Linked DNA regions of Schizosaccharomyces pombe. Changing the gene in region 1 together with any one later gene gives a genetic interaction. Each region holds a gene or a part of one and is shown on either strand. Other genes may lie near its edges.

Region 1 (3,929 bases):
TATGAATAATTAAAAATGCATTAAACGCTTTGTGACAATTGATGGCTTCATTGAATTGTTGATTTAGCATCTCAACATTATTTATTAAATATACCAAGAATAAAATATTATTAGGATTCCTATATCAGCTACGCAGTTTGTTATCTGTTGTAACGATACGTTGGATTACGTCGAAATCTCCTTGTTATCTATTATATTGCACTATACTGGTAATGTAAGTAGCAACTTGTTATTAGTATTCTATATGATTACATTTTTAGCCATCACTAATATTGCCTACAGCTGAACCTCGTTCCTCAGTTCAGTTATAGCTTCTATTCGTAATTATCTAATAGATGTTACCAGCGGGTATTTTTGTATACAGAATAGTTATTCTCAATTACCAATAAAAACACCTTAGCTAATATTCTAACATATGATATTTAGCGATAGACAAGCATAATGTAGCATAACATATAGTAGAATTGCAGGTATTACAAAAGCGATGAATATATTCACAACTTTGAGCCATGGAAATCGACCATACACATTTTTTTGGTGTAGCATATGCTCAAATTGGCTTTAAAAAAAAGTTCATGAAATAAAGAAACTTAGTCATCGACAATGGACCTTGGAAAAATAGAAATCCGAAAATTAACGTGATACTGTTTCATATTTTGTATTATTTATTTAGTGTGCGTGACGCATGTTATTAAATATAGCCTTTGTCAAGTTCGTTAAATTAAGCTTATTTTTTATAGAGTAATTGAATCTATTGACGTAACTTACGCCTGCGATACAGAAATGCAAACAACGAATTTCAACTTTTAAAATCTACCATTGTCTAATATTTAAAAAAGCTAGAAATGAAATTGAGGGATAAATGGAAAATTTATTTAGGGTTAACGACTATCAAAGTTCAATGCCCTTGTTTTTTTTTGTTTCACAATGATGAAAATCGAACCACTACATCTAACTTAGATTCGGTAAAGTCTAAAAAAAAAAGAAGGAAGACGATATCTGATGCTTCAATCGTTTCTAATGGATCTCTAGTCTCTCATCCATCTATTGACAAGGGAAAACTCTCTATTCTCAAGCGATATAAAATGTCGCATCGATTAACTGCAATTGATAAACTAAGACCGCTAACTGTGTTGGTAGCGTGGAAACAATTAAACATTGCTATGAGACCAATATTTCCGCAACATCGTTACACCGAACAGGATAAGAAGAATTGGAAAAAAAAGGTTATTATCGAAGATTTAAATTTTTTAGTGCTGCGGTGTATATGCGCTTGCGAAGCAATAAGCGATTTTGAAGAGCTTTTGGGAAATATGCGAATTGGACTGATAATTGACATTTCATTGCTGGGTATGAATAGCAATGAGTCTTCCTTTCTACACTATCTTGTTGAGGTGTGGTCGATTTTTTATTTAGAAATATTGCCGTATATCGAAGCTACGTTTTTGCCTGTTACTTTTGCAAAATTTGAGATTGCTCAATTATTTGAAGAGCCCATGAAAACGTACTGGTTAAAAAAGAGTGCTAATATAGATTTGAAACTGTTTTCTATTTGGGTGTTTCGTAAATTTGTTGTAATGCCAAAGCTGAAAAAGACAAATCGATTCATTGAAATTCCTCAATTGAATACTCAGCAGCAGATTTTACTCGTCCAGATGATTTCCATTATTTCTCTCATAAAGCCACAAGATGAATCCGAAGATCTTCTAATGAACTGGCTAAACGAACTGACTTTAAAATTTTTATATGTCTGAAATTTAATATGTTTTAATAGAAGATAGACTTTTTATACTTTCAATATTTGTTTTTAAAGCCCATTTAAGCAATTTATCTTTTAATATTTGCGGCTTTTGTTAGGTATTTAATAATGTTACCTATTCCTTGTTACTCAATGGTGTTTCTATTTTGCTAACTGGAGTATGCAACAGGACCTCCATATAGACACTTTTTAAAATCGAAAGAACTCTTCTAAGCCCTCTTATGTAATACCATCTTTCCCATGGGTTTGTAGGATGAATAGTTTCCTTTTACTTGACCATGTGTCTGACTCTCAGGATTCTGGAAGTGAATGGTCAAATACTCATGGGTCTTTAATTTCACAACGTGGAAATGAATACGATGGAATTACGCCGGCTACTAAAGAAAAAAATCAAAATAAGCTAGAAATTCTGAACAATGAAACCACCATCGGTTCTACAAAGTCATCGGTGTCTTCATTGCCCGAATTGAATAGGAATGTTTCTTTTGAAAAAAGTGATCAAAATTTAGCTGAAACAAAGAGGGAAGAAGAAAACAAACGAACTGAGGTTTTTAAAAAAGATGCCGAACACGAAGCGGTTGTTGTTAAAAGAGATTTTCGCCCTAGACGTCCTGAGCAAACCCGGCCTTATACTTACGATTTCTTAAGGCATCAAATAGAGTTTAAAAGAATAGGCTTGGTACCCATCACCGTACCGCATGGTTTTTCTTCTGATCGATCTATTACTTCTAAGTCCTCTCATAAACCTGTAAATGTTATAGTTCGTAATCGTGCTTCTTCACGTAAACCACCCTTGACCTCTACTCATCGCTTTAGAAGGTATGGAGCTGTAATATCTGATAGCGATGATGATGAGTCTAATACTGAGCAAGATCATTCAAAGGAATCTAATCTGAATACAGCTGACAATGACCTCGCATTGTCGTCTACTATTGAAGGAAAGAAAACCTCAACTAGCAAAGAGGCTTTAGAATCTGAGTCTTTACTTTCCGATTCGGATCAGTCTATGACAAATATCTCATCGAATTCTACTGTGAGTGATCTGAATTTGAAAACTTTAAAGAAAAGATTACGAGGAGTTTTACCACCATCATTTCTAACTCTTCAAGAAAAAAAAAAATTGGAAAATAGAGGTGTCAAAAAAAAGACATCATTACACAAGAGTGTTATTGAGGGAGAAAAAATAAAAGGTGTGGCTCGACGGAAGTTGCATCCTAGATCGACAGCTAAACTATCTAGTGAATTAGGAAACGAAATATCGGATTCTGACAATAGCATTTCTACGCCAACACCAACTGATGATTCACGGTTTGACACCAGCGAGTTTTTAGATTCAATTTCTCGTGATAATGGCTGGTTGAAAGAAGATGTGGTTGATCAATTATGGCTTCCTAAAAGAAGTTTATCCGCTCTTAAAAAATCAAGTTCTTTGACGTCGGAAAACCCCTTTCAGCTAAATGTAGCAGCCAATGCTGTTTCTACTATTCCTGTCTATCGCACAACTAAAACCAAAATGAAAAAAAATAGATTTAAATATGTCGAAGTGGAAAAATTACCAGACCTTATCCTTGAATCGTATGGGAAAAAGGCGCCAAAGTTTTTGAGGGTGTTTGCTCGAAGTTCATCTCATATTCCAAAAATGATTAGAAGAAAAAGACAAATGGATTCCAAAAAGTATTTTTCCTTCGACAAAGAATCCGATCGCCAAGTTATTGATCAAGTTCTTTCTGATTGGTATTCAGGTAAACATGAGCTTGTTCAACAATCTCATTCTTACAAAAAGCCTTCAGATTCTAAGTCAGTTGGTGGAAATATTTTTTCTGTTAATTCTAAAAAGCATAGTGTAAATATTAACGCTAAAACAGCAGCAAATAACGGTTTGAGTCATCTTCAAAATTTTAGCGAGGAACTCTTAAAAAAAAGAAAGCTATTTTCTTCTCTTTTTTCTAATAACGTTTCATACAAAAAATCCAAAAAGTTAAAAAGGACTCATACAGTACATGACAAATGCCAAAAAGTTGCCAAATTAGACCATTACATTAGGGACAATATTGAATTAAACTCAAAGGAAAGAGAACATGATTGTTATGAGGGGACTTTAGCTGTACCCCAAGTAAATACTGAGATCCGCAAGTCTTCAAGAAAGCAGAAGGCTCAACGATTTATACGA
Region 2 (3,929 bases), 1.3 Mb from region 1:
TGTTTTTCATTAAAGACAGTTTATATTGGGTCATTAAGGAAAATTTTTTCCATTCAAGTGAAGACAAATTTTATATTGGTACAAGTTATTCTGTACTTGTCCTTAAACACATCTAATCAAAATAACGCTAAAAAGAAAATTTGAGAGCATGGCGGAAGAAAAAAAGGAAGAATTGTTCACAAGTATTGGCAATGCTGCACAAAATGTGTCAACAGCTGAGGATAGGGAAGGAAATGGTGTTCAAGAAGTCGAATCGTTGTGTATGGAGTGTGGAAAAAACGGTACTACTAAATTATTGTTGACGGTCATTCCATACTTCCGTGAGGTTGTTTTAATGTCGTTTGAATGTCCTCATTGTGGGTTTAAGAATGCGCAAGTTCAACACGCTGAGACAATTCAACCGGAAGGAAGCAAAATTACTTTCCATGTTGAGGATAAGGAAGATTTAAATCGGACAGTTGTAAAGAGCCAGGAGGCTATTGTCAGTATTCCTGAAATTCAGCTAGAAATCCCGGGAAGGTTAGGCCAGTTAACTACCATTGAGGGGATTCTGAGTAATGTGGTGGATGATTTAAGTAAAGAACAAGAATCTCGTAAGGAGTCTGCTCCTCAGTTATATGACCAAATAAATGCTTTCATTGAGAAAGTGAATAGTCTACGTTCTGGATCTGTACCATTTACCATCACAGTTGACGATATTACGGGCAACAGCTGGATCGAGATGAAACCTGGCCGAGATGGTGACCGATGGTCTCAGGTTAGCTACAAGCGTACTTTGGAGCAGAATACGAAGCTGGGTCTTGTGGATACTGATCAACCTGAAGACGTCAAGACACAAACAAACAACGCTTCTAATACACTTAAACATGATGCTACTGCTGTGGAAGTCGATCCCAATGAGGTACATACCTTCCATGCAACTTGTCCCTCTTGTTCACATCAATGTGACACCCACATGAAGTTGCTTGATATTCCCCATTTCAAAGAAGTTATTATCATGTCTACTGTTTGTGATCGTTGTGGATATCGTTCCAACGAAGTAAAAACTGGTGGTGAAATTCCACCCAAAGGTCGAAAAATTACTTTAAAGGTCATGGATGCCGAGGACTTATCCCGTGATATTCTCAAATCTGAAACCGCATCTCTTAAAATTCCTGAACTTGGACTTGATTTGTTCCCAGGTACTTTGGGTGGACGATTCACAACCATTGAAGGTCTTCTAGCTCAAGTTTATGATGAGTTATATGGCCGTGTGTTTTCTCAGGAGACCGATTCTATGACTCCTGAGCAAGTCGCTAACTGGCAACAATTTCTCTGCAACTTGACGGCTGCACGTGAGGGTGCTACTCAATTCACTCTTATTTTAGATGATCCTCTTTCACAAAGTTATCTGCAGAATTATTACGCTCCCGATCCAGATCCAAATATGACTATTGAGGAGTATGAACGTTCATTCCAAGTAAATGAGGAATTGGGTCTGAACGATATGAAGACAGAAAACTATGAAAAGGATGGAGGTAAGAAGTAAAGTTCGAGGTTTTTGTCAAATGTTAGGGAATGTATTTAATATAGTAATACTATGTTTTTTTGGGGGGTTTATTGACTATGAAGATATAATAGTATAGTAGATTAGCTAATTTTTATTTCCCGTAATGTTTTTGTTAGAGACTGATGCTTTATTATTTTACTTTTAGTTTAAAATAGTTACTTGATTTATCGCAAATGTTATGAGGCTAATAATTCGAAGTATTAGTAAACCATAAAATTTGCTACAAGAAATGTTAGATAGTGAAGCTAAAATTATTACCAATAACAAACTTGTAACACATATTTAGCCGATACCAGAAATAATTGATTCATATTTCACAATTTCATTATTTGTATACCATGTTTAGTGAAGGGTAACAATGGTGCGTAATTTAAAGAACGCGACACGCTATAATAGTAATAGAATTTAATTTATATATACATCTAGATATTTCTCAACACATACCATTGGTATAAACAGCACTTTCCTTTTTTTTTTGTTTGAATCCTTATCCCTCTTTTCCTACCCTTTCTTCTATTTCAGTAATCTCTTTTTTAATAATTGCTAATATATTTAATGATTCAGCAACCAACAACTGCTAAACCTAGAATTTCTACTTCTTCAAAGTTAAATACTGTTTTATCAAAAAACAAAGAGAATGTTCCTGGAAAGTTGTTTAAAAAGTTTAAATGCCCTTCTTTAGTGATTTCAGAAAAGCGAAAAGAGCTTCCTTTACGCAAAAAGCCAAGAGTTAACTACAGCGAATATGGTTCTGTTGATGGGAAGTATGATTCAGCTTACGTATCTGAAAATGTGTCTGGGTTGGCAACCATCAAAGAAGCTAATCGATTAATACTAAATCATGAACGACGAGATCCCTCAACAGTCATTAAGAAACAGTTCTCTGTGCCTAAACCTATCAAGGGTCATGAAGATATATCTAAACTGTGTGCACATCGTCCACCTCCTACACTGGGAATGAAAAGGAAGGTGGATTTTATTCCTCGTCCCCTTTACGATCCTGCTGATGAATTTGCTATCGTTTTATATGATCCCACTACTGATGCAGATGAGATCATTCCTGATATAAAAGAGGTCTTAGCGGAAAAACGTAAAAAAGATGAATTGTTAAAAAATCGAAAAGGAAAGAAAGAAATTTCTGATAGTGAGCCTGAAAGTGACCATGATTCATGTGTCTCCACTGACACAGTGGCTAGCTGTTCTACCGAGCAAAGTCTCATAACCTCTAATACCTCAAAGCATAGAAGACCAAATAAAAGTTTGAAAGATCTACTAGGAATTCAGAAAGAAAAACCTCCACCTCCTCCTGTTGCTGTTGTCATTGATCCAAAACTTGCTCGTATTCTAAGACCTCATCAAATAGAAGGTGTCAAATTCTTGTACAAGTGTGTAACTGGAAGGATTGACCGTTGTGCAAATGGATGTATTATGGCAGATGAGATGGGACTTGGTAAGACACTTCAATGTATTGCTTTGTTATGGACCCTTTTAAAACAGTCTCCTCAGGCTGGAAAACCGACAATTGAAAAGGCAATTATAACTTGTCCTTCTTCTTTAGTCAAAAATTGGGCTAATGAACTTGTCAAATGGTTAGGAAAAGATGCTATTACTCCATTCATATTGGACGGTAAAAGCTCCAAACAGGAGTTAATCATGGCTTTGCAACAATGGGCATCCGTACATGGACGACAAGTCACACGTCCAGTGCTTATTGCCAGTTATGAAACCCTTAGAAGTTATGTTGAGCATCTCAACAACGCAGAAATTGGAATGCTTCTTTGTGACGAAGGTCATCGTCTTAAGAATAGTGATTCTTTGACTTTTACGGCATTAGACAAGCTAAACGTTCAAAGGCGTGTCATCCTTTCTGGTACCCCTATTCAAAATGATCTAAGCGAATACTTTTCGTTGTTAAATTTTGCGAATCCTGGGTTGTTAGGTTCAAGGCAAGAGTTCAGAAAAAATTATGAAATTCCAATTTTAAAAGGTCGTGATGCTGACGGAACAGAAAAAGATAAGGAGAATGGTGATGCTAAGTTAGCTGAGTTAGCCAAGATTGTCAATCGGTTTATTATTCGTCGTACGAATGATATTCTCTCCAAATATTTGCCTGTTAAATACGAACATGTTGTCTTTTGCAACCTTTCCGAATTTCAGCTTTCTTTGTACAAGCATTTTATTACCTCGCCTGAAATCAATAAAATCTTAAGGGGGACCGGCAGTCAACCACTAAAAGCTATAGGTCTGCTAAAAAAAATATGTAATCATCCTGATCTATTGAATTTAACTGAGGACTTGGAAGGTTGTGAGGCTCTATTCCCTCCAGGATTTATTCCCCGTGAGCTAAGAGGGCGCGATAGAAACATTGACTCCTCTTTAT

The links.
Region 2: mutations in mus7 (region 1) and rad54 are lethal when combined (synthetic lethality), as found in Schizosaccharomyces pombe (one study listed by BioGRID).

Annotation. Positions count from the first base shown.
Region 1 is NC_003424.3:2,412,054-2,415,982, reverse strand, and holds the start of mus7 (DNA repair protein Mus7/Mms22), read left to right. Parts: upstream 1-1,935; 5' UTR 1,936-2,012; coding exon 2,013-3,929. Other genes in the region: HbrB family protein involved in TOR signaling Bit2, read left to right, coding at 846-1,754. UniProt on the Schizosaccharomyces pombe protein: Involved in protection against replication-dependent DNA damage. May act by restoring active replication forks, repairing unusual DNA structures, and/or preventing aberrant DNA rearrangement at arrested replication forks.
Region 2 is NC_003424.3:3,681,321-3,685,249, reverse strand, and holds the start of rad54 (DNA repair protein), read left to right. Parts: upstream 1-1,984; 5' UTR 1,985-2,104; coding exon 2,105-3,929. Other genes in the region: EF-1 alpha-binding zinc finger protein Zpr1, read left to right, coding at 149-1,528. UniProt on the Schizosaccharomyces pombe protein: Plays an essential role in homologous recombination (HR) which is a major pathway for repairing DNA double-strand breaks (DSBs), single-stranded DNA (ssDNA) gaps, and stalled or collapsed replication forks.